Macaca fascicularis: one gene and its partners. The protein of the gene in region 1 interacts with the protein of each later gene in a pairwise test. Links are inferred from orthologs where the notes say so. Each region holds a gene or a part of one and is shown in the gene's direction. Other genes may lie near its edges. The genes, in order: EWSR1, YY1AP1, MVK, ATPAF2, SMAD4, PRMT1 and PLSCR1.

What was found.
Region 2: the proteins of EWSR1 (region 1) and YY1AP1 interact in a two-hybrid assay, tested with the Homo sapiens proteins (2 studies listed by BioGRID and IntAct). The link is inferred for Macaca fascicularis from reciprocal best matches to the Homo sapiens genes EWSR1 and YY1AP1.
Region 3: the proteins of EWSR1 (region 1) and MVK interact in a two-hybrid assay, tested with the Homo sapiens proteins (2 studies listed by BioGRID and IntAct). The two-hybrid records come from large-scale screens. The link is inferred for Macaca fascicularis from reciprocal best matches to the Homo sapiens genes EWSR1 and MVK.
Region 4: the proteins of EWSR1 (region 1) and ATPAF2 interact in binary tests that used the Homo sapiens proteins (3 or more experiments, as listed by UniProt). The two-hybrid records come from large-scale screens. The link is inferred for Macaca fascicularis from reciprocal best matches to the Homo sapiens genes EWSR1 and ATPAF2.
Region 5: the proteins of EWSR1 (region 1) and SMAD4 interact in binary tests that used the Homo sapiens proteins (3 or more experiments, as listed by UniProt). The link is inferred for Macaca fascicularis from reciprocal best matches to the Homo sapiens genes EWSR1 and SMAD4.
Region 6: the proteins of EWSR1 (region 1) and PRMT1 interact in a two-hybrid assay, tested with the Homo sapiens proteins (2 studies listed by BioGRID and IntAct). The link is inferred for Macaca fascicularis from reciprocal best matches to the Homo sapiens genes EWSR1 and PRMT1.
Region 7: the proteins of EWSR1 (region 1) and PLSCR1 interact in binary tests that used the Homo sapiens proteins (3 or more experiments, as listed by UniProt). The two-hybrid records come from large-scale screens. The link is inferred for Macaca fascicularis from reciprocal best matches to the Homo sapiens genes EWSR1 and PLSCR1.

What each region holds. Positions count from the first base shown.
Region 1 is NC_088384.1:22,388,233-22,391,732, reverse strand, and holds part of EWSR1 (RNA-binding protein EWS), read left to right. Parts: intron 1-1,000; coding exon 1,001-1,168; intron 1,169-3,500. UniProt on the Homo sapiens protein: Binds to ssRNA containing the consensus sequence 5'-AGGUAA-3'. Might normally function as a transcriptional repressor. EWS-fusion-proteins (EFPS) may play a role in the tumorigenic process.
Region 2 is NC_088375.1:105,421,265-105,425,351, forward strand, and holds the start of YY1AP1 (YY1-associated protein 1), read left to right. Parts: upstream 1-1,299; intron 1,300-1,336; exon of another isoform or gene 1,337-1,523; intron 1,524-1,805; exon of another isoform or gene 1,806-1,927; 5' UTR 1,928-2,064; exon of another isoform or gene 2,065-2,265; intron 2,266-4,087. Other genes in the region: DAP3 (small ribosomal subunit protein mS29), read right to left, coding at 932-1,255. UniProt on the Homo sapiens protein: Associates with the INO80 chromatin remodeling complex, which is responsible for transcriptional regulation, DNA repair, and replication. Enhances transcription activation by YY1. Plays a role in cell cycle regulation.
Region 3 is NC_088385.1:116,439,316-116,443,424, forward strand, and holds the start of MVK (mevalonate kinase), read left to right. Parts: upstream 1-1,309; 5' UTR 1,310-1,345; coding exon 1,346-1,522; intron 1,523-2,458; exon of another isoform or gene 2,459-2,472; coding exon of another isoform or gene 2,473-2,550; intron 2,551-3,624; coding exon 3,625-3,772; intron 3,773-4,109. Other genes in the region: corrinoid adenosyltransferase MMAB, read right to left, coding at 1,013-1,128. UniProt on the Homo sapiens protein: Catalyzes the phosphorylation of mevalonate to mevalonate 5-phosphate, a key step in isoprenoid and cholesterol biosynthesis.
Region 4 is NC_088390.1:18,133,044-18,135,350, reverse strand, and holds the end of ATPAF2 (ATP synthase mitochondrial F1 complex assembly factor 2), read left to right. Parts: intron 1-1,383; coding exon 1,384-1,521; 3' UTR 1,522-1,807; downstream 1,808-2,307. UniProt on the Homo sapiens protein: Plays a role in the assembly of the F1 component of the mitochondrial ATP synthase (ATPase).
Region 5 is NC_088392.1:38,670,748-38,674,247, reverse strand, and holds part of SMAD4 (mothers against decapentaplegic homolog 4), read left to right. Parts: intron 1-1,819; coding exon 1,820-2,032; intron 2,033-3,500. UniProt on the Homo sapiens protein: In muscle physiology, plays a central role in the balance between atrophy and hypertrophy. When recruited by MSTN, promotes atrophy response via phosphorylated SMAD2/4.
Region 6 is NC_088393.1:57,649,796-57,653,929, forward strand, and holds the start of PRMT1 (protein arginine N-methyltransferase 1), read left to right. Parts: upstream 1-1,334; 5' UTR 1,335-1,378; coding exon 1,379-1,573; intron 1,574-3,965; exon of another isoform or gene 3,966-3,967; coding exon 3,968-4,021; exon of another isoform or gene 4,022-4,025; intron 4,026-4,134. UniProt on the Homo sapiens protein: Arginine methyltransferase that methylates (mono and asymmetric dimethylation) the guanidino nitrogens of arginyl residues present in proteins such as ESR1, histone H2, H3 and H4, FMR1, ILF3, HNRNPA1, HNRNPD, NFATC2IP, SUPT5H, TAF15, EWS, HABP4, SERBP1, RBM15, FOXO1, CHTOP, MAP3K5/ASK1, MICU1 and NPRL2.
Region 7 is NC_088376.1:49,326,399-49,329,048, reverse strand, and holds the end of PLSCR1 (phospholipid scramblase 1), read left to right. Parts: intron 1-153; coding exon 154-315; intron 316-1,217; coding exon 1,218-1,274; 3' UTR 1,275-2,150; downstream 2,151-2,650. UniProt on the Homo sapiens protein: Catalyzes calcium-induced ATP-independent rapid bidirectional and non-specific movement of phospholipids (lipid scrambling or lipid flip-flop) between the inner and outer leaflet of the plasma membrane resulting in collapse of the phospholipid asymmetry which leads to phosphatidylserine externalization on the cell surface.

The sequences.
Region 1 (3,500 bases):
GTCTCGATCTCTTGACCTCGTGATCTGCCCGCCTCAGCCTCCCAGAGTTCTGAGATTACAGGTGTGAGCCAAGGCGACAGGCCAATTTTTTTGTGTTTCTAGTAGAGACAGGGTTTCTCCATGTTGGCCAGGCTGGTCTCGAACTCCTGGCATCGGGCAATCCACCTGCCTTGACCTCCCAAAGTGCTGGGATTACAGGCATGAGCCACCACACCCGGCATCTTTTGAGATGGAGTCTCTCTGTCACCCAGGATGGAGTACACGATTAACAGCTCACTACAACCTTCACCTCCCATGCCCCAGCGGTCCTCCCACCTCAGCCTTCCAAGTAGCTGAGGCCACAGGCATATACCACCATACTTGGATAACATTTTTCTATTTCTGTAGAGGTGGGGTCTCCCTATATTACCCAGGCCAGTCTCAAACTCCTGGGCTCAAGCCATCCTCCTACCTTAGCCTCCCAAAGTGCTGGGATTACAGATGTGAGCCACCATGTTTGCCCTGGTCTGTTTTTAATAAATAAGAATCATAAACCTGCAAATTCTCTAAATTTATGATGCCATGGACTTACGTAAATGTTACTCCAAACTAAAACTTACATTATTGTTAGTTTCTAGTCTTCAGCAGTCCCCTTTGAGAAAAAGCATTTATTCCCTAACAGATCACGTCTCCCGGATCACCTAAACTGGTAGGACAGAATATCACAACGCTCTTTTATAGCTTTTACTGTGATGAATGGCACATATTAATGTCTCTTCTGTGGATATAATTGGTTCTTCCCCTTTCTTAGCATTGTCTTCAAGCAAATATAGTTGGACCAGCACTCAGTTTGATGTAGTTTACTTTAGGATTGTATTTATTGTATTTATTTCCAGGCTTAATCATAACATTGCTTATTGCTTATGGATTTATAGCATTCTTACCCAGGAGTTTTGTGGTTGGCAGACCACACAAAAAAAGTCACTGTGTAATTTTATTTATTTTTTATTTCTCCTCTTAGACCACAGGATGGAAACAAGCCCACTGAGACTAGTCAACCTCAGTCTAGCACAGGGGGTTACAACCAGCCCAGCCTAGGATATGGACAGAGTAACTACAGTTATCCCCAGGTACCTGGGAGCTACCCCATGCAGCCAGTCACCGCACCTCCATCTTACCCTCCTACCAGGTCAGTCTACTTTCTGTAGCAAAACAAAAACAGTGACAAAACAGTTGTTTTCAGGTTGTTGACCAGCTTGCTTTGACCTCTTCAGGTAAGGTATGTTGTCTGACTGTCGGAGTAATAAGTCATCTGATCATACTTAGTTACATTAAAGTCTCAGTTCTAGGGTCCCGTAGTGTTGCCTGGCAGCTAATAACTAAACTTTCTAAATACAGACAAAAACATTTTTATCACTCTAAGTTCTTCCTTTAAGGTTCTTCCTTTTGCTGTTTTAGTTAACTCAGATAAGAAGCAGAAGTATATGAAAGCATGTAAATAGAACCATAAGAGCCACCTTCCCCAATGCAGTTAGGATAAGTAAAGTGCAGGGCATTATAAATCACCTTTTACATTATAAATCACATTTTACATTTTACCTAATGCATAAAGGTTCATTCATGCTCTAACCTTTTAATGTTTGGGCAATTCATTTTATTTTTATTTTTATTATTATTATTGTCTGGCCAAGTTTTCTTTTTTGAGACAGTCTCACTCTGTTGCACAGGCTGGAGTGCAGTGGCACGATCTCCACTCACTGCAACCTCTGTCTCCCAGGGATTCTCATGCCTCAGCCTCCCAAGTAGCTGGGACTACAAGTGCACGCCACCACGCCTGACTCATTTTTGTTTTTGTTTTATTGTTGTTTTGAGATGGAGTTTCACTCTTGTTGCCCATGCTGGAGTGCAATGGTACGATCTCAGCTTACTGCACTCTCCACCTCCCAGGTTCAAGCGATTCTCCTACTTCAGCCTCCCGAGTAGCTGGGATTACAAGTGCTCACTACTATACCTGGCTAATTTTTATTTATTTATTTATTTTTTAATTTTTTTTTTTTTTTTTTTTTTTTTTTTTTGAGACGGAGTCTCGCTCTGTCGCCCAGACTGGAGTGCAGTGGCGCGATCTCGGCTCACTGCAAGCTCCGCCTCCCGGATTCACGCCATTCTCCTGCCTCAGCCTCCCGAGTAGCTGGGACTACAGGCGCCCGCCACCACGCCCGGCTAATTTCTTTTTGTATTTTTAGTAGAGACGGGGTTTCACCGTGTTAGCCAGGATGGTCTCGATCTCCTGACCTCGTGATCCGCCCGCCTCGGCCTCCCAAAGTGCTGCGATTACAGGCTTGAGCCACCGCGCCCGGCCTATTTTTTAATTTTTATATTTTTAGTAGAGACAGGGTTTCACCATGTGGACCAGGCTGGTCTGGAACTCCTGACCTCAAGTGATCCACCTGCCCCGGCCTCCCAAAGTGCTGGGATGACAGACGTGAGCCACTGCACCCAGCCAGTTTGTTTCTTTTGAGACGGAGTTTCGCTCTTGTTGCCCAGGCTGGAGTGCAACGGTGCGATCTCGGCTCACCACAACCTCTGCCTCCTGGGTTCAAGTGATTCTCCTGCCTCAGCCTCCCGAGTAGCTGGGATTAGAGACAGGTGCCACCACGCCCAGCTAATTTTGTATTTTTAGTAGAGACAGGGTTTCTCCATGTTGGTCAGGCTGGTCTTGAACCCCCAACCTCAGGTGATCTGCCCGCCTCGGCCTCCCATAGTGCTAGGAATACAGGCATGAGCCACTGCACCTGGCCCAGTTTTTGTATTTTTAGTAGATACAGGGTTTCACAATGTTGGCCAGACTGGTCTTGAACTCCTGGCCTCAAGTGATCCGCCTACCTTGGCCTCCCAAAGTACTGGGATTATGGGACTACAGGTGTGAGCCACCATGCCCAGCCTGCAAGTTTTTTAACCCATGTTTAATTAGATGTGGGTTTTCAAATTGTTTGAATTGTGCCTTAAAAGTTTTGCTAGAAGTAGCAGTTCCCTTTTTTGCACTTATTTCATTTTTTTGCAGCAGATGTGAACAGGTTTAGGAACAAGTAGAATTGATTGGGTGTCTCTCATTACAGCCAGCTTGGAGCAAAAGTGGGCAGGGCTTACAACTCTTCTTCCACAGAGCAGGTTCGTACCTATTGTGTTGAGAGTAGTTAATCTGGCAAGTTGGATAGGTACACAGTGAGACACTACTGAATTCATACAGCAATGGTGAGGGATGTGGTGTATTAGAAGCTTTGTTAGTCTGTTTCTTTGTTTGTTTATTTTTGGAGACCAGGTCTCACTCTGTTGTCCAGGCATGGGATACAGTGACACAGTCATAGTCCCCTGTAGCCTCGAACTTCCTGGTGTAGTTTAATCGGATTTTAAAATATGTATCCTTATTGTTTCATATCATGATTTGTGAAGCCTAATACCAGATGATTTTTTTTTGTTTTTGTGGTTTTGACTTTTTTTGTTTTTGTGGGTTTTTTTTTTTT
Region 2 (4,087 bases), on another chromosome or scaffold:
TCCTGCCTCAGCCTCCTGAGTAGCTGGCACTACAGGCGCCCGCCACCGCGCCCGGCTTATTTTTTGTATTTTTAGTAGAAACGGGGTTTCACCGTGGTCTCGATCTCCTGACCTTGTGATCCGCCCGCCTCGGCCTCCCAAAGTGCTGGGATTACAGGCGTGAGCCACTGCGCCCGGCTTTTTTTTTTTTTTTTTGAGACGGAGTCTCCCTCTGACACCCAGGCTGGAGAGCGGTGGCACGGACTCGGCTCACTGCAACCCCACCTTCCGAGTTCAAGCAATTCTCCTGCCTCAGCCTCCTGAATAACTGGGACTACAGGAGCCCGCCACCACGCCCGGCTAATATTTGTATTTTTAGTAGAGACGGGGGTTTCACCATGTTGGCCAGGATTGTCTCGATCTCTTGACCTTGTGATCCACCCGCCTCGGCCTCCCAAAGTGTTGGGATTACAGGCGTGAGCCACCGCGCCCAGCCCTATCTTATTATTTCACACACCAACCCTGGAGGCATGTTTGGAGTTGCCTAATTTTCATGTACACTTTTTGATAAGGAACTAAGAAAAATAGCTTGCTGAAAACAAGGGAGACTGAGTCCAGAACTGAATGAGAAGCACATGGTTTCTTCATCCTCTATCACCAGGCTGTCTAACGAGGCTGAAGAAGTACTATCCATAAGTAGCGCGTCAGGGGCAAACAAACAAAATCGCATATGGACACTAGTGTGAAATTCGAGAAATCCGAGGCGGGTTAACAACAGCAAGCAGATCACCAGGCCGATCTTCCTCGGGTCCCAGGTTGGCACCACAGCGCCCGGGAGGAATCCCCACGGAGGCACGCCGGTCCTACCGGCCTCACTCCCTACCTCCCGGAGGTCCGGAGTCCCGCTCCTTTCCCTCAGCGATACATCCCCCGTGCCGGTCCACTCCCTCACCGTGAGTCGAGGACTACTTCTCCAGACCAGACGACTGACACACACTGCCAAGGGCCGGTTCCAAAGCGCCCGTCCTGCGACTGCGTAAAAGGCTCGGGTCATCCGGCCGGAAACGACCCAACGCGCAGCCGCCGCGGCCTCCAACCACCGGCCGGCAGAGGGGGCACTAGACAGCCCTCGATCCGCTCGCCGGGGTCCTGTGGAGGAGGAGGCGAGCCGCAGCGCCGCAGGAACGAGCCCAGGGAGGTAGGTTGTCGTGGGACTCGGCCCGCCACCCTGGCAATTCCAGTCAAACGGCAAGCCAGACTCGCTTTGCCGGCCCATTCCTCTCCTGCCCCTGCAGCCGACAGGAATGGAACAGTCCCGCTGGCGGGGGGGACTGTGGAAGGCGCACGCGCGAGGGTTGGAGGGTCGAGGGGGGGGCTGTGCTGGCAGCGGCTTCTTTGGCGGCGGTTGGTGGCCGTGGGGGCGGGAAGAGGAGGTGGAGGAGGCTTGGGCTCGCGCGGCTTAAGGTACGCGTGAGGGCCTGCGCCGGAGCCGGCTTGACAGGGCCTGAGGGAGAGTGGGGGACTGGGCGAGGAGGTTCCCGTGGGTGAGCGCGTACGGGCTGGCTGGCGCGCTGGGCGGCCGAAGGTGGTGGTTGGTGGGAGCAGCCAGCGACTAGCCCGTAGACACTCGTACGCTTGCGGGCGGGCGTGCGCGCTACGCGGCCGGAGTCGGGCGGAGCGGGGGACGGTGGGGAAGAACGCGAGGAGGGAGGAGTGGGAGGTTGGGGGGGCGCTAGACGCCCTTCGCTCCCTCCCTCTGGAGGAGCAGCCGCCGCCACCGCCGCCACTCTGCTGCCGCCGCCGCCGCCGCCGCCGCCGCTCCCGCCGCCATTTTGGGTTCGCTTTGCGGAGGGGAGACGATCCCAGTCTCGGTTGCGGGACCCGCCTCCCCTCAGTTTGCCCCCTTTAGCCTCCACCTTTCCCTTCTCCTCTCTCGCATTTCCGCCAGTCAGCTTACCCGCTGGCCGCCTCCTGACAAGCGGGAGGGATCCGCCGTGGACCCAGGGAAGCGGAGGAGCCTGGCGGCCACCCCCTCTTCCCCACTTCCCTGCACTCTCGTCGCTCTCGGCCTCGGCCTCCGACACGGTGAGTAGAACGATTTGGGCAGGCCTTCGGGCCTAAGCACTCTCTCAGCGATTGAATCCTGGGCTTCCTGGGAGCCACTGTCATCTCCCGGACCTGGACCTCCGGGAGAGCAGTGGTGAAGATGGGGGAGGGGAGAGCAGGGAGGGGGATCCTGAGCCTACCGGGAAGTCCCTCCACGCGGGGTGAAGGGGTGTCCCTGACAGGCGGACTCCCGGAGGGGGCTGGAAAGTAAGCGAGTGGAGGCGGAGCCGTCTGTGCCCCTGACAGGTTAGTTTGTGTTTGTAGGCATGATCGGAGCCTCCCCCATAGTCCAGTTTGTGTGTGTTTAATTAAGGGATAAGAGTGGTCGAGGACACGATCCTGAGAGGGGAGTTTACCTGTGTGACAAGGTCTGTGGTGTCCCTGCCGCGTTGAACGGTATGTAGGAACGGCAGGATGATCTCAGTGTTGTAAGTTTAATAAATGTCACTGATTAGTTTGTACATGGAAAGAGGTGTTTTTGGTCTAGAAGACAGATGGTCTGTTGATGTGTAGCGGCTGTGTTGGTGTGTGTATGCGAGGATGGAAAGTGTTTCCGGAAGAGTTTGCCTTGATTTGTGTAAGTGTAATGGAGTTCCCGTTATAAGTTAGCTTATTTCTTGAATAAATGTTGGGAGGTTCCTTGCAGGTTGATATGTGTGTGTATTTTAGGGATTGGGAGCCCCTAGTTACTTGTTGGGAAAGAGTGGCAATGGTAGTGTTCTATACAGCATGTGTCTGTGAGGTCATGGAGGGGAGAAACTTAGCATAGCCAGTTGTGGTCTTAATAGTTTGTGCCTTTGGTTAGAGTGAGTTGTGTAAATGTGAAGGCCCAAAATATCTTTAACAGAATCATTGCTACAAAGCTGTAAAGAATGGGTGGCCTTATTTGTTGTCGCGGGTTTATAGTAATAGTTTAGAAATACAATAAGAAAGCGCTTTCAATTTCTTTGTGATACTAAATCTCTGTGAAAATGGTAGGATGCTTTCTTCCATTTTACAAAATAGTTAATTTAGGCATAAGGAGAGAACTTCTCCAAGGCCGCATATTAAATTGGTGACAAAGTTGAGACTGTAACTCCCATATTTTCACTACTGCTGCAGCAGTATATTCAGCATACCATGGTGCCTCAGGAAGTCTTTGTCGGCAAATCTGAGTATGTTGGAAAGATAGGAGCACATGTGACTGGTTGGATTGTATTTGGAGGAGACCGATTGTGTCAGATATGTATGTGGAAAGTAGATGTCCTTGCCCGGTCTGACCTGTATGAAATGCATATCCATGGCTATATTATTTTGTTTATGGGGGAAGCAGAGCATTTCTGACACTTGAGGTTGTACGTGTGAGGGAGAGAAGGCTTTCACAGCTTAACCTCTACCAGAGCAGCTGCATGGGTGCTGACAGCTTAACTTGAAATCTGTGGGAGGAAAGATCCTTTTTCATTCATTCAACAAATATTTGTTGACTGCCTGTTCAATAAATCGTCCATGTCTTGGGGTGAGGATAATCATGGTGTCTCTGTAAATAGCCTGGATGCAATATGAGGGGAATTGTTTTGACAGTGGTAGATATTGAGTTGAGTGAAGCAGTGTGGAATTAAAATCAGAGAACTGGTTTTGGGTTCTGGTGATTGTTAATATACGTACCTGTGGATGTTGGAACTTCTTGGCTGGGCTGAAGGAATCCTTTGAAAGATTGATTTCATATAGTAAGAATCCCCTCTGTGAATATAAGGAAAGAGTGCATGAACTAAGCCAACTTAACTGTATTCTTCTGGAAAATGGGATGTTTCTTGATAGGCTAGATTAGTGGTTCTTAAAAGTTTTTGGGGGTCATTTATCCTTCTGAGAATCTGATGAAAGACACTGGGCCCTCAAGTTAGAAGATGAACATAAGCCCAATCACATGATTTATACATATGATTTTAGGAACTTAAAGTGTAATGAAATAGAGCCAATTTATATTTAGGTCTCATTTGAAAACCTTTCATTTTCTTTGTTCGGA
Region 3 (4,109 bases), on another chromosome or scaffold:
CCGGGCTCAAGCAATCCTCCCATCTCAGCCTCCCCAGTAGCTGGAACCACAAGTGTATACCACCACACTCGGCTAATTTTTTTTTTTTTTTTTTTTTTTGGTAGAGACGGGTTCACCATGTTGCCTAGGCTGGTTTTGAACTCCTGAGTTCAAGCAATACGGCTACCTCAACCTCCCAAAGTGTTGTGATTACAGGTGTGAGCCACCATACCTGGCCTATGATTATTTTGTTCACAGACAGGGTCTTGCTCTGTTGCCTAAGCTGGAATGCAGTGCAGTGGCATGATCATAGCTCACTGCAGTCTTGAACTCCTGGGCTCAAGGGATCCTCCTGCCTCAGCCTCCCAAGTAGCTAGGACTCTTAACTCTATCCTACCCAAATTCTTACCTTACACTCCACCAACTTAGGGCCTCTTGCAGGAAAAGAAGCCTGAGCCACTTCCATACTATGAGGCTTCGAGTGTACTCAGAGATGAAGAATTGCCAAAATACAGCTCAAAAAGTGGCATTTTCAAATAACAATGTAAACAACTCAGTGACATAGCTCAAAATTAAAATGTGACACTACAAGGCCATTCGAAGGTTAATTTCCTGGATCTGTGAACTAAATTAATCCATTATTAATCCACGGTACTCTAGAGGTTCTGAGGTCTGGGTTGGGTGCAAGTTTCAAGGTGTATGAGGAAAGCCATCTTTAGAAGGTGCTGGTGTATCTGGGACCTGGGGGATAAACTGCTATGGAAATTGGTCACAATCTGAGTCGAGAGCCCTGCTGGCCCACACGGGATATGCCATGCCCTGCCCGATGACAGCCGGGTTTCACTGGGACTTAGGCAAAGACTACCTGGTCTCTGGCGCCCACGTGGTCCACGTTGCCACGGTGACGTCAGGACAGCGTGGAGACGTCACCGGACGGGTGCCGCCGTGACCTCACGACGGTGTGACGTACCCATGACGACGACACCACGATTCAAAGCAGGTGTTCGAGTTACCCTTCCTGCCAGCCACTCACCTGTCCCCGTCTTCCACGCCCTGAGGGCTGCAGCTCTGGAAACGGGGATACAGGAGCCTGGCGGCGCCGAAGCATCCGCGCAGGCCAAGACGACTCCCCAGGCCCCACACAGCCATCAGCCAGGCTTCTTGATGGGAGCTGACCCCGCCAGGTTCCCGTCCAGGCCCCGGAGTGACTCCACCCACAGCTGGCCGCGCCACCGCTCAGCTGTCAATTTTCATTGGCTCGAGGTTCTCGCCCCAGGGCGGGACACTCCCAGGGACTTGTTTCCCATTGGTTTGACGGAAGAAGCGGGGCGGGAAAACCCGTGCCGGCTTGGCTGCATCACCACCAATGTTCAAGCCTATTGGTAAAAGTACGCCAGACTTGCGCGCTCTGATTGGCTGGGCTGAAGGCCAAGGCCTCCTCCCCTTGAGGCACGGGCGCTCTAGGCTGCAGGAGTCCGGGAGCTGCTCCGGCTCCGGCGCGGAGTGGCGGCAGCCGGGGCGTGGGCGGCGGCGGCGGCGACAGGTGAGAGGCCGGGGTCGCGGGGCCGGGTGGCGCGAGGTCCTAGACCCAGGACGGCCTTGAGCCGGGCGCCCAGTTTCTGTGGCTCAGTTTCTCCAGCTCTGAGAGTCAGCCCCGAGGGGTCGGCGACCTCAATCTGACAGTCGTGATTTTGAGCTTGGGACAAGCAAGGGGAATCCCCGCTTTGAGCCTCAGTTTTTCTAAGAAGTGGGGATCACGATAGTACTTAGCTCGTAGTGCACTTGAATCTTAGTGTAAGGTAATCAACGTAAAACCTTAAGCGGGGAATAATTTTGCGTTATTTATAAAAGTGTAAATTGCACACACCTGTAGACCCTGCAAGCCCCTTTCTAGGACTCTGTCCTGCAGAAATACTCATTTAAGTGTGCAGAACGAGGCGTACTGGGTGTTTTCTGTGGCCTTGTTTATAATCGTGACACGTTGGAAACAGCCTAAATGTCCAGCAAAGAGTTCTTTCTGCTCCATGATTTCATGTAATTTCTACTTTCAGTAGTAGTAGTTGTAAAAGCTGAAACGAAGAACAGAGCCAGTAATAAGTAGCTCTCAGTAATTGAATGATTAGTAGGTGCCAGACACTGCTAAGTGTTTCCCTTGAGTTAATTTAACCTTCCTAACATCCACTGAGGTGCGTACGGTTATTTTCTGTCCATATAACGTGGTGGGAAACCGATGTTCATAGCCGTTTAAGTGAGTTAGCTAAGACGACATCACTGGGGAGTGGAATAGCTGGGATTTGAACCCAGATCTGTTGGATGTGTCCAGTTGATTGCTGCATTGCCTTTCTGGCACATAGCAAGTGCTGGACGGTGTCTACCTTTTTTGTTATTATGATGGGCTTGAACTAGGTGTTCTAAGATCTCTTCCTGATGGTTCTGACATCTGGAGATCTTTGCTCTTCTCACTGGCTTTCCCTTTTAGGATTCCCAGGAGCCATGTTGTCAGAAGTCCTACTGGTGTCTGCTCCGGGGAAAGTCATCCTTCATGGAGAACATGCCGTGGTACATGGCAAGGTACAAAGCCGTTAGAGCCTTTAAGGATTGGGTACCCCTTCTCCCTGATACTAATTTTGCAGGACACCTGAAGCACAGCTTGGGAGCAGATCAGAGATGTCAGTTTCTCCTCAGCCAGGCAAGGAAAAGGTATCTTATGCCCACTGAAGGGATTCTCAGGCCTCACTCGGTATGATAGCAAAAAGATGGGATATAAAGCCCTATGAGTGGAATGAGATCACCTAGGAGTGAGCTTTGATGCAGAAGGAAGAGGTTTGAGAACTGAGCTCCGGGGCACTAAGACATGGAGAAGTTGGAAGGATGATCTAGCAAAGGAGTCGGAAACATCCATTACCTCATTTTACCCTTACCCCGAAGGCATACCCTTTTATTACCCTGTTTTACAAATGTGCAAACCGAGGCTTAGGAGAGAAGTGGTAACTTGATCCAAGTCCTATATACCTTGGTAGAGCTTGGTGTGAACCTAAGTCTGTCTTAGGTTCTACTCCTGCTGCACTCTGCTTTTTTTTTTTTTTTTTTTTTTTTTCCTGAGATCGCTGGAGCGCAATCTTGTGATCACGGCTTACTGCAGCCTCCAACCTCAGCCTCCCGAGTAGCTGGGACCACAGGTGTGTACCACCACACCCTACTAATTTTTTCTTTTGTTTTTTTTGTAAAGACGTGGTTTGACACCAGGCTGGTCTCAAACTCCTGGGCTCAAGTGATCCTCCTGCTTTGGCCTCCCAAACTGCTGGGATTACAGATGTGAGCCACTACACCTGGCCTCTCACTGCTATTCTTTATGTTCTTATATTTCTCATTGAAAACATGGTGATTATGGGGAAGTGATTCCTTGGTGTTGAGAACCTGTGAAATTTTTCAGGAAGAAGGCAAAGTGGATGTTAACTTTTAGTTGATCGATGGTGGCTGTCCCCAGGCTTAGTGGGAGAGCATGCCAAAGTTGGTTAGCAGTGTCTGGCAAGGGCATGGCTGGGAGTGGCCTTTGTGCTCATGTTTGCTCTCTTGTTAGCATGTGGGCCCTGGCTCCTTTGCCACTCACCCTCAGGCTTATTGCTTTTGTCCTTTATTCTACAGGTAGCACTGGCTGTAGCCTTGAACTTGAGAACATTTCTCCGGCTTCAACCCCACAGCAATGGGAAAGTGGACCTCAGCTTACCCAACATTGGTATCAAGTGGGCCTGGGATGTGGCCAGGCTTCAGCTACTGGACACAAGCTTTCTGGGTGAGTGCAAGGAGGAGAAATCGTAAGAGCCTTACCAGAGGTGGTGAGAGCCTACAGAGAGGGCAGCTGGCCAGGTATTCCAGGCTGTCCCCCGCCAAGGGAGCCAGGGGCCAGCTATTGCCAGCGTGTTTTCTACCCTGACCTTATAAAATTAGCTTCACTTATTTATTTTGTTTAATTTAAAAGTGTAAAACAATGCATTGGATCTGTGTGGGCCGTTGTGGACAGATCATCAAGGCCTATTGTTGAGTGAAAAAAAAATGCAAAACAGCAAACATAGGTATTTAAGTATAAATATGTGTATAAATGATAGAAAAGATCTCGGGGACATAGACAT
Region 4 (2,307 bases), on another chromosome or scaffold:
ACAAACAGAGGAATAACCTGAATTATGTATGTGATGGTATACAATGAAAGTATGGAATACTCTTCAGATGACTTATTACAATTGTACAGTTTGGGACCAGGCAGCCCAGAAGTTCAAATAGCTTGTGTAGCATGGCAGATTCTGAGTTCCTGGATGAGCTGGGGCGGCCAGGCCAGGCCTCTTGGGCAACTAGCCAGGGAGGAGCCAGCAGGGTCTGGTTGGAGTTACACTGTCTGGACAGCCACACCGTGTGTCTGAGGGTTCCTCCCTCTTGTTTTTAGAGCTCCAGACCCATCCTGGCTAACATGGTGAAACCCCGTCTCTACTAAAAATACAAAAAACTAGCCGGGCGAGGTGGCGGGCGCCTGTAGTCCCAGCTACTTGGGAGGCTGAGGCAGGAGAATGGCGTAAACCCGGGAGGCGGAGCTTGCAGTGAGCTGAGATCCGGCCACTGCACTCCAGCCTGGGCGACAGAGCGAGACTCCGTCTCAAAAAAAAAAAAAAAAGAGCTCCAGACAGAGAATCTGCAACGTGTCCCCAGTGTGCAGAGCAGAGGCATCTGTAGTTCTGTGACTACCACAAGAGTTAGAGTTGAAGCCACTGCATGGCCTTGCTTGATTTAGTTATTCCACCCACATGGGGCTCGGGGTGCACTTGTAGCCCAGCATGGCAAGGCAACTTGCAGAGGCTGTCCGTTCACAGGCTTCCCGGGAGGAAGTGTAGGAGAAGGGATGGCACATAAGTCAGGCCTCCTCAAAGAAGTCACATGGGTGGTTCTGGTACCCAGCCTGCTCAGTGGTGGGTGGGCAGCTACTGGCCCTGGGCCTGGACTGTACTTCTTCTAGACCATCCATGCCACAGAAAGCACAGGTGCCTGCTCTGGCTCCCTGAGTGGTTGTGTGTGTGTGTATGTGTGTGTGTGTGGTGCTCTTGAGACAGGGTGTTGCTGTGTTGCCCAGGTTGGAGTGCAGCGGTATGATCTTGGCTCACTGCAGCCTCAACCTCCTGGGCTCAAAGCAGTCCTCCTACCTCAACCTCTCAAGTAGCTGGGACTATAGGTGCACCCCCACCACACCCAGCTAATTTTTAAAACTTTTTGTAGAGATGAGGTTTCACCATATTTGCCCAGGCTGATCTTGAACTCCTGGGTTCAAGCAGTCTTCCTGCCTTGGCCTCCCAGAGTGCTGGGATTACAGGCGTGAGCCACTGTGCCTGGCCCACCTCGGTGTTCTTACCTGCCGCCTCCCTCTAGGCATGTCTCGTGTTTTGGCAAGATCCAAACCTGTTGCCCTCAGCCGAGCTATTGGAATGGAATGTGGCTTTGGCCAGGAGGCAGCCAGGCACTGGCCACTCACCCAGCAACTTGTCTTGTCTGTCCCTCAGATCCAGAAGTGGGGCAACATTGAGTGGGCCCATGACTACGAGCTGCAGGAGCTGCGGGCCCGCACCGCTGCCGGCACCCTCTTCATCCATCTCTGCTCCGAGAGCACCACAGTCAAGCACAAGCTCCTGAACGAGTGAGGCCTGGGCAGCACACACTCAGCAGGATAGAGGCAGCGCAGCCACAGCTCCCCCAACCTTCAGGGCTCCTCAGCCTGTGGGGCTGACTTACTTGACTTTTGGGGCCTCGGCCTCAGCATCACCCTGAGATTTCCCTGAAACACAGTGCGCTAGTGCGACTGTCCGGAGGTCAGCCTGATTTCAAACCAGGTGCCCCTGGCCTGGTCAGCAATGAATGTGGGAGATGAATTGTACAACTAACTTTCTCTCAACCCTGATTTTATTAAATATTTCTCCACCCTGGAAATGTGCTGAGCCCTGTTTTCACGTGCACTTCTGCACTTCTCTATTCTTCCTGTTTTGTCTAGGTTCCAGAGGGTTAAACAGCTTATCTCCCATGGCATGTTTGGATATCTGCTGCCTGTGGTTGGGAACCTTGTGCTGGGGAAACAGTCATGTCATCCACAGACAACTCTATTTGTGTTCTTCAGCCTCAACTTGAAGGCTTTTTTTGGCTGGCTTTTAATCAATCTTTTGAAATGATCGTGGTTTAAGCTGGTTGTTTCTATTTGTTCCTACTGTTCTAAAACAAGTGATTTACTCTAGAAAGTAGAAAATGGACAGGCTTGGCGAGGTCACTTGATGTGCATGTTTCCGCTCATCTCCCACCCAGGAGTCCCAGGGGTCCTCCCGACATAGCCACCTCTAATGTCCCAGGAGGCAGGTGGTGCTGTCTGGTGTCACGCCAGTAAGAGGGCAGTGGGGATCCCGAGTGTGGTTCTTAGGCAGACAGGCTGTCTCAGTCCT
Region 5 (3,500 bases), on another chromosome or scaffold:
TTGCAGATTTCTATACTTGTTGATACCTTCAGTTTTACCTGAGAAACATTATGGATTATCTGGGGTTAAAGAAATCTGTAGACCAGTAGAGGTTTCAAACTTACATTTGGGAAGTTTAGCCAGCATATTTAAGGCAAGAAAGATTTATGAGTCATAACTGTTTAAAAGCAGAATGCAGTAGGTACTTAAAGATATTATGATTGCTGATTACACTGAAGAGTCACCTGAAAAGCAAAAGCAGTGAGTACCAAATTGACCAGTTGTATCCTCAAATCAGCTAGCAAAACCAGTAAGTCGGTAAAAAGATCCTGGCCGTTATAACAACAGAAAACCTAAAATGTCCAGGAATTATTTAGAGATGTCAGGATTTATATGAAGAAAATCATTGAACTTTGTTGAAGGGTATAATACAAGGCTGAATAAGTGTAGACATACCAATTTTATGCCCCATTTTTTTTCTTTTTATTATTTTTATAATTTGGCCAATGTTAGTGATGAGTGATTGTGTTCAGTTTTTTTATCGATACATAATTTGTTAAACATCCTTTTGATTATCTTTTTGTTTCTGTAAAATTTATAAAGAGGAACTTTGGAATGGGATTTATGGGGTCTTCAGAATATCATCGTCATGACTTTTGATGCATGAACGTACTTCTTAAGAGGTTTTTAAGAGGTTGCACATAGAAACTTGCACAATGGATGATTATTACTGCCTTGAAATAGTCTCAATTTAATAAAAAATACCCATGTAACTTAACTGATATTTACATGTAGATTTTTTTCAAAGGTTGACATAGGGAAAGATAAGGGAAATGATATGCTGGTTCTTAATGAAAAAGGGAATGTCTTTTTGTGGTCTACTAATTTACTGCTTTAAGAAGAGAACCTACTATTAGTTCAGTGGATTGTTAAGTTCTGGAGTAGTGTTAGTTCAGAAGCAATAAAGGATTGGTTGTTAAACATAAAAAGCAAACCTTAAAACAATAACCTAGAACCAAAAGGAAGGTTCCAGGCAGAGAATTAACATTTATGCAGTTCAGTTTCAGTTTTCTTTTTCTCATACAACAGAGCAAACTATTTCCTGGTTTGTTAATGGAAAGGTGTTATGCTATATCAGCTGGAATCTAGCTTTACTTATGAAGGTGTAACCACATAGGTGAAAGATTGATTACTGAGTTTTCTCACACCATATGTTTATCAAATACTCTTATTTGGGTTGGGTTTCTAGAGGGAAATTTCAGCTTGACTTTTCATTTAGAATTTTTCTGTTTGGTTCTAAATCTATAGGGGACATTCAGTACACTTCATTTTTAAAGAATATGTTACTTAACAATAATTCTAGATCCTGGAATTGGATATCTGTCAGATCCCACTGATATCTCCACAGTGTGAAATTAGCAAAAGGATGTAGTTAAATACTCAATCTCGATTTAGACCAAATAATTGTTTTTCTCAGCTGGATACACATTTTCCAGCCTTTTGGTTTTTGCCTGCCTTATGTATTTAGGTGATGATTATTCTACGTTTCTCAAGAAACTGAGGAGTACCTTTTTAGGATTGTTGCTGGAGGCTGTTGGAACGTAGACTAGCTTCGAATTTGAGAGTCAGATTGATGGATAAAATATATCTGATGCTGTTACCATTAAATAAATGACTTGCTGGTAAAGTAGTATGCTTTTAAAATAATATGAAAAAATTCTGATTTAAAGTTATTTACACTGTAATTGATTTTAGATGTTATATTACTTGCTAATAAGATTTCTTTTTTCTGGGGATAGAAGCTTATAAAAATTTAAAATACGTTTAATTTTCTACATAGCTCCTTCAAGTATGATGGTGAAGGATGAATATGTTCATGACTTTGAGGGACAGCCATCGTTGTCCACTGAAGGACATTCGATTCAAACCATCCAGCATCCACCAAGTAATCGTGCGTCAACAGAGACATACAGCACCCCAGCTCTGTTAGCCCCATCTGAGTCTAATGCTACCAGCACTGCCAACTTTCCCAACATTCCTGTGGCTTCCACAAGTGAGTTCTAGAATCAGATGTAGTCAGCAAGTTGAGTTTTCCTAATCATTGCTTATTTATGTGTAGTTATTTGGGGGGAAACTCCAAGTAAGTAAACATTAAAAGTAACTGTGGTATCTTTCATAGGTAAACAGGTGTTAGACAGGTATGTACAATCGCTTGGAATTTAATGGCTTTGATTAGAATATTGATTCAAATTAGTGATCTGATTTGAACTTTACTATTACATGTAGAAGTAAGTAGCCTCTGAAGCTCTCAGATAGATTTTGGAGAAATATTTAAATAATAAGTAGTTTTGATCCAAGATGTTTATGAAGGTCTGTGTTAATGGAATTGCAACCTTTCTTTTAATCCAGTGTTCTTATTTTGGTTTATCTGGGAGAATATTACCTTATAGTAGTTGTCTTATTTTCTCACTGTGCAAAGGGATCTTGACAAATTTGTTATGTATTGCTCAAGATAGACATTAAGTAATTAAGTCAATTTTGATGTAAGCTAACTTCTATATCTCTTTTAAAATTTTTGTCTGTATTTTAAAAAAATTAGTCTGTTTCAGAAGGATCCTTCTTTTCTGCCATGTCATAGGAGGTAAAGGGGCTGCTAGGTTTAGGTTTTTTGGGGCCTGATGATATGACCTGGTTCTGTTACTTATTTTCACAGTAACCAAAGGTTTGATAGTTTGCTGCCTTGCAAATGAAGTAGCTTTTTTTGCTTTTTTTTTTTTTTTTTTTCCCAGTTAATCATAGTGCATTGTCTTGGCATGTGTATGGTGTTAGTTGCATGCAATTGCTAAAGGAATTATATGTAAACCTACATTAGAATAGATTTTTGACAGCTCTGGTCTAATACTGTGTTAGTTGCTGCCAAAAGTACCATTATTCTATTTGCTTTACTATCAGATTAGATTCAACATAGAAATTTTGATCTTTGGAATAAATGGGGGACTGATTTCTGTAATTGTGAGTTTTCAAGTGAAGTATACAAAAATTTCCCCTCTTTAATTCATTACACCACTTCAAAGCAATATGTTTTTGGTTTGCTATATAAGAGATGACGGTCTCACTATAGGCAGCATATACTAAATGGGTCATATAGGTTAAGTACTTGAGAACCCAGATCCTTAATCACTTGGTTCTTCTGTTATCTGTCTACTTTTTATTTACCAAATTAGGAATATGGTTGATAAACAGTGGGTAGTGATAGAAAATGAAAGAAGGTACATTATAGCCACTTGAACGTAGATTAGTGCTAGAGCACAGCTACCTACTTCTGTTTATATTATCTGGAGATTGAATTTCTGTACCTTTGTTAATGCTTGCTAAAGTGACTTCATTTTGACTGTTTTATTCCCTAAGGTTGAGTCCTATGCAAAGATTAGAAAAAGTGATATAAATGAAATGCAGCTAATTTTATCCTGGTATTTATTGGGTAGATTTTAATAATCAAATACTGTAAATACTGTAAGTTT
Region 6 (4,134 bases), on another chromosome or scaffold:
GAGACGGGGTTTCACCGTGCTAGCCAGGATGGTCTCGATCTCCTGACCTCGTGATCCGCCCGTCTCGGCCTCCCAAAGTGCTGGGATTACGGGCTTGAGCCACCGCGCCCGGCCAATTTTTGTATTTTTAATAGAAATGGGCGTTTCACCATGTTGGCCAGACTGGTGTCGAACTCCTGACTTCAAGTGATCCGCCCGCCTCCGCCTCCCAAAGTGCTGGGATTACAGGCGTGAGCCACTGCGCCCGAATCCTATCGGAAATTTTTAAGTCTCAGGCGTTTGCCAGCGGCACGCCAGAGAGTATAGCCTGCACCGAGGCCCAGAAACCAAAGAGCGAGCTCATTCCGGGATTGGAGAGGAGTGTGAGCGGAGGGAAGCAGAGGGATCAGAGAGAGGAGGGGCAGGACCCACGCATTCGGCCCTTTGCATTCAGCCTTATTCAACTAGGAACTTTTCCTGCAAATCAAGCAAAGCTTCCCGGAGGAAGTGGTGCCTAAGCTGCGCTCTGATTCTCGTTTAGAAGCTGACAAGACAAAGAGAGGTGGGCGGTCCTGGCAGGGGGAGGGACTCGGCAAAAACCAAGTACCTTGAGAGGGGTTGATGGGTTTTAAAAACTTTGAATGATTATGTCAAAGGCTAGGGATTTAATGTGTTAACTGCGGACTCCTATTCCTCACTTGCTTGGGGACCCCAGCGATGCCATTCCTCTCTCTGGGCCTCTCACTTACTCAGTTTTTCTCCCAGGTAATGAGCACAAGCTCCCTTTTTCCTCGAGACTCCCCCCGGGTTGGGAGGATCCACCGAGTGGACTAGGCGTGATCGTTCCTTTGAGCCAATCGTTGGTGCCTGAAGCCCCGCCTTCTTCCCCACCCGTGGGCCAATTGTCGTGTTCTCCTTGAGACTGGCCGCTTGGCGAGGGTGAAAGGCCGCGTGACGTCACTTCCGGATAAACCAATGGCAGCGATTAAGAGGCGGGTCGTTTTGGTGATGGACAGTTGTTTCAAGACGCCCCTTTAGCGCGGGGCTCCCCGGGAAGCTTTGAGGCGGTGCTGGGGGTAAAGGGGCGGGCATTCCTCGTGGATTTTGCCCAATCACCAGTCGCGCTTCTTGCAATAGACGGGCAGTTTTCCCCATCTCGGGTCGACTTGAGGGGGCGGGATTCTGGACGCCAGTGTTGGCAAACCCCTGACCTATGATGGACGTATTCTCCAGCCAATTATCAGACGGTATTCTCAGACGGGCCGCCTCCATTGCCAATGAAATCTTCCAGCGGGGTCGCGGTAGGCGGGCCGTGGACCCTCTGGTATAAGGCGGTCCCGGGGGAGTGAGGAGAAAGGGGGGGTCTTGGCGGCTGGAGGAGGAGTAGTTGCGGGTGAAGATGGCGGCAGCCGAGGCCGCGAACTGCATCATGGAGGTGAGCGCTTGGAGCGCCGCCGTGGGCGGGGGTCGGCTTTGGGTCGATGTTTCACGCCTCTGTGGTGGGAAAAGGGCTCTAAGTTGGCGACATGGGGTTGGAGGTCCCCCGCCGCACACGGGGGCGCCGCACGCTCCACATCCGGGGATATCGTTTGAGGTGACGGCTCCCTAGCTTTCAAGGGCCTTCGGCATCCGGCCTAGCGGAGGGTCTTATCCCCCCTCCCACGTGGAGGAGGGCTGGGGGCGCTTCCGGCCAGGCCCCCACGTGGCCGCGGCGCGGTGGGTGGGGAGGGGGTGTGCCGAGTCCGGTGGCCCGGCGGGCTCCACGTGCGGGACAAAGGCCCCGCCCCCGGCCGGGGAGGGGCGCCCGGGGGGGCGGGGAGGGGGTCCGACCCTCCTGAGGCCCCCAGCCCTCCTACCCAGGGACCCGGGCACACGTCGTGGGGTGGGAGCGACCTGGGGCCCTCCACGATGTAGAGTGTCTTTTGGGAGGAGCAGTGCCTTTTACAACCTCCTTCCGAGCTCCAGGGGCATCTATTGGGATATCGGCCCTGGATTTGTGCGTTCTGGATTAGGGACTGGAGGAAAACCAAGAATGGGGCCCCCCTGACCCCATTTCCCCTCCTAGAGTTCTCCCCCTCACCCAGGGCTTTAGGTGTTGGGGGATGGGGCATGCCCCTGTGACCTCCCTCTGGGTGGTGGTGGGGCATCTAGATGGAGATTTTCCCACTAATAGGCGCCGTGCACCCCCTTGTGGCCATTTCTGGGTGTGTGGGAGGGACATCTTTTTCATGGGGCGTGTCCTGAAGCCCACCTCCCGTCGGATTTCTTCCTGGCGGGCGGAGGGAGGAGGGTACGTCCGCTGGGAAGGAGTTGTGGGAAATACGTAGGCTGAGAGCTTTACCCTCTGCTGGAGCGCTTTCTCTCTCCTGGGCCTTTGTGAGGGCGGGAGATGACCTCCCCCTTCCTGAAGCCCTGTGTAGGGGTCCTGAGCCCCGGGGTCCTGAGGGTGGGTGCCTGAAATGGTTTCAAGTGAGGTTTGGTTCTCGTGCAGCCATGTGGGGGAGGTTTCAGTCTTGCGTTTCAAGCCTTCGGGCTGGGGTTGTCTGGCGGTAGTTTTCAGTGGTGGTGATAAATGGGCCCCAGCGGGAAACCCCCGCAGCACCTTTCTTATAGGCATCCCCGCTGGCTTGGGAGAGCTGGGGGGAGGGTGTTTGGAGCCTAGTAGGTCATGGCCAGTGACGTGGCCCTTCTTGGAGTGGTCACATCTGGAAGAGATGTAATCTGATGGGGCCTCTGTCCTTCCACCCCTTTACCCATGGCATTGACTGGGGGGGCAGGTCAGCTGTAAGCTGTCAGGATGCAGCTCCCAGGGGTCACTGTAATGACTTCGCACCCTCTTGGCTGTCTCCTGCACCTGGGGCTCTGTGGGCGGAGGAAATAACTTTCCCAGAGGTGGCCTCAGGCTTGGCCACACCTGGAAGTCTTCAGGACCTGGGATGGGTGTCTGAAATGGGGGCGATGGGCTGACTCCCCAAGCTACTTTTTTTTTTTTTTTTTTTTTTTTGAGACGGAGTCTTAATCTGTCACCGAGGCTGGAGTGCAATGGCTTGATCTCGGCTCATTGCAACCTCCGCTTCCTGGGTTCAAGCGATTCTCCTGCCTCAGCCTCTTGAATAGCTGGGATGACAGGCACCCGCCACCAGGCCCAGCTAATTTTTGTATTTTTAGTAGAGATGGGGATTCACCATGTTGGTCAGGCCGGTCTCAAACTCCTGACCTAAGGTGACCCACCCGCCTCTGCCTCCCAAACTGCTGGGATTACAGGTGTGAGCCACCGCGCCCCCAAGCCACTTTCTGGAGCCCGCTCATTCTTAAGAGGGTCCAGGAGCTGCCCATCCTCCATGGGACCCTACCTTCATGGGCAGAGGGTCATAAGGGAGCGGGTTGGTTCCAGCTGGTTTTGTTTGGGGCTCCTGAGTCCAAGGCAGGAGCTGGGGGCTGGGGTACTAGCTCTGGGGAAGTGCCCGTGTGCCACACCTCTATTCTGGAATCCTCTCAGACATGAGACTGGTTTGCAGAGGTGGCAGATGCCCTGTGGGCATACCCTGCCAGCCTCGTTCCCTCCTGCTATTCATGGCACCCTGGGATAGGGGTGTGTGTGTCAGGAAGTGTCACCTAATCTGGGGGAGATTAGGTGATGAGAGGGAGCGACAGCTGGCGGGGGTGGGTGCCAGTTCCCCTGGCCTGGATGGGGGAGGTGTGTGGTCAGCTGCCTGGCCAGAGAGGGGCAACAAGGGGGCAGGCCACCATCTCTCCAGCCACAGCTGGGATAGGAGACCCCCTTTCTTCTCCCCTCACTTTTCCCATCCCTTTCTTAAACACCCCACCTCATTACTTGCCCTCTTTGCCACCACTCCCCGCCAAGAAGGAGAATTGCTGGAAACCCCCCCCCACCCCCTCCCACCCCGCCAGAGCCCAGGTCCCCGCGCCCAGCCCTCCCGCAGCCACTCCCAGTAGCTAATCCTTTCTCCCTGTTACTCTCTCCTAGAATTTTGTAGCCACCTTGGCTAATGGGATGAGCCTCCAGCCGCCTCTTGAAGAAGTAAATATCCTTTTGTGAGACCCCTTCCCACCCCGACCTCCACATCAATATATTTTGCCACACATCTGGCCCTTTCTTGAGGTCTAACCATACCCCTCTTGCTTCAAACCAGT
Region 7 (2,650 bases), on another chromosome or scaffold:
AGATACCGGAGCCTCTAGTTATCTAATGAGGGTTACATGTTCATGGTTACATATGGTACATAATTTTAATACCATATTTGTTTCATCTTCAAATTTGAAAGTACTTTTGCTATAAGTTTCCTAAAAATATGTAATACTTTTTTTTCAATTTAGATTAAATCTCTTGATGAACAGTGTGTGGTTGGCAAAATTTCCAAGCACTGGACTGGAATTTTGAGAGAGGCATTTACAGATGCTGATAACTTTGGAATCCAGTTCCCTTTAGACCTTGATGTTAAAATGAAAGCTGTAATGATTGGTGCCTGTTTCCTCATTGTAAGTTTGTTCTTATTAATCTTGATTATAGATGCTTTCTCTATATGCTTTCTACTAATCATTCTGAAATGATTCAGTAAAGTGTATATTTCAAAATGACTTTTTAAAATTTATAGATTTTTAAATCAGGATTCCCATTTAATCCTAGCTCTGAAATTCTATTTGATCCTGACACTCTGGGGTGACTAGTTTCTGTCTGAAGAGTCTATGAATATTCACATGGCAAGAGAGGGACTAAGGAGGCGTACTGAGGAGAGATTTTAGTCTCCCCTTAAATCAGCCATCTCCTACATGCTTTGAAGAAATTGAAAGCGGGCATATGTGGAAAAAATTTAGTGAAACAAGGAAACTTGACCATGACTCATAGTAATTAAATTAAACCATCTAATATAGGAGTATGAACTACAGTAAGAGTGTGCATTCACTCAAGTGTGTAGACCTAACTACCAAATTACAGGAGATAATCGGATATACCAGTGATTCTGAAATTGCCTTCACATTAGAATCACTTAGGGACCTTTAAAAACTGTAAGTACTAGTCCATACCTCAGTTCAACTGAGTCAAACTTCGAAGTTCGTATAGTGCTCCAGGTGGTTCCAATATGCAGCCACAGATGAGAATTATGGGGATAGAGAAAAAGTCACATTTAGAGAAAATAACCGGAAGATTAATTAAATTCATACAGGTATCAATACATGAATAGAATTATAAAATTTATTATTAAAATGGAAAGCTAAAGGTAGAACTTATATAACTATAGAGCTTTTCTGTGTTTATTACATTTAATTTTTTTAACAGATATGTTACTGTGTTTCACTAGATCCCTTAGTATTTCTGCATCTGATCATTGATCTCTGTTTTGTTGCTGAAAATTCATTTGTATATTTTTGTTTTTATCTAGGATTTCATGTTTTTTGAAAGCACTGGCAGCCAGGAACAAAAATCAGGAGTGTGGTAGTGGATTAGTGAAAGTCTCCTCAGGAAATCTGAAGTCCGTAAATTGATTGAGACTATCTAAACTCATACCTGTGTGAATTAAGCTGTAATGCCTGTAGCTCTGGTTGTATACTTTTGCTTTTCAAATTATAGTTTATCTTCTGTATAACTGATTTATAAAGGTTTTTGTACATTTTTTAATACTCATTGTGAATTTGAGAAAAAGGGCATCTGAGTTTTTGCATTTATTAATGAAACTTCCTATAAAAAACTGCTTTGAATTATGATCTCTGATCCACTGTCCATTTTACTACCGAATATTAACTAAGGCCTTATTAATTTTTATATAAATTATATTTTAAATCTAGTTACAATTTATTTCATGCATAATAGCTAATGTTATTTTGCAAATGCCATATATTCAAAAAAGTTCAAAGATAATTTTCTTTACTGTTATGTTCAAATAATATTCAATATGTATATTATCTTTAAAAAGTTAAATGTATTTTTTTAATCTTCAAGAAATCATGCTACACTTAACTTCTCCTAGAAGCTAAGCTGTACCATAAATGATACATTCATGTTCACAAGATATTAAATTACCAGTTTTTAAATTATTGTTAAATAAAGAACAAAATAAAGAACAAAATGATTCTTGTCCAAAGAAAGGCACATTTTAAACACTCCTTCACTCTAAAACTCGTACTATTATAAATTTTGAAAGTTAATATTTATATATGAAATGTATAGCTTTTATACTCTATCCTTTCTAGAAAATGGTAATTTTCAGATGTTAATTAAATATAATATTATATATATATATATATTCACAGAAAATAAACCTAAATAATGATCTATTAGATTCAAATATTTGAAATAAAAACTTGATTTTTTTGTATATTTGACTTTTGTTTTTAAACAAAATGTGTTCAGATGGTATTTTGAACACTCATTCAGTTAAATGATGGTACATTTGAAGCAGGATATTTCCCTGACCCCTTCCTGGGACTCGAGAAGGGGTGTCTTGTTTACTCAGCCTGCCACTCTCAACTCCTCCTGGGAGGGAGTGCGCAGGCAAACAAGGCAGGAACTGGAGTGCACAAGCACTGGAACTGGCTGACCGCTTTGGCACGGGCAAGAGCAAACTCCGTGCACGCCCTGTGGTAGCAACCAGGTGCGGTTGCCTGCGATTCCTGAAGCCCCAGAAGGTGTGTTACGGTGCTCTTTTAGCTCTGCAGTCTGTGGACAGCTTAAGTGTTAACAGCTCCGTGAGCCCTTTGTCTTGTCACGTGGGACAGCTGCCCTCCACCAGCAAGGGCAAAGGGCGAGTGTTAGTGCCTTTTATATCTGCACTCATGGCTCCCAGGCTCTTGTCCGGCGTCCAGGAAAAATGTGGTC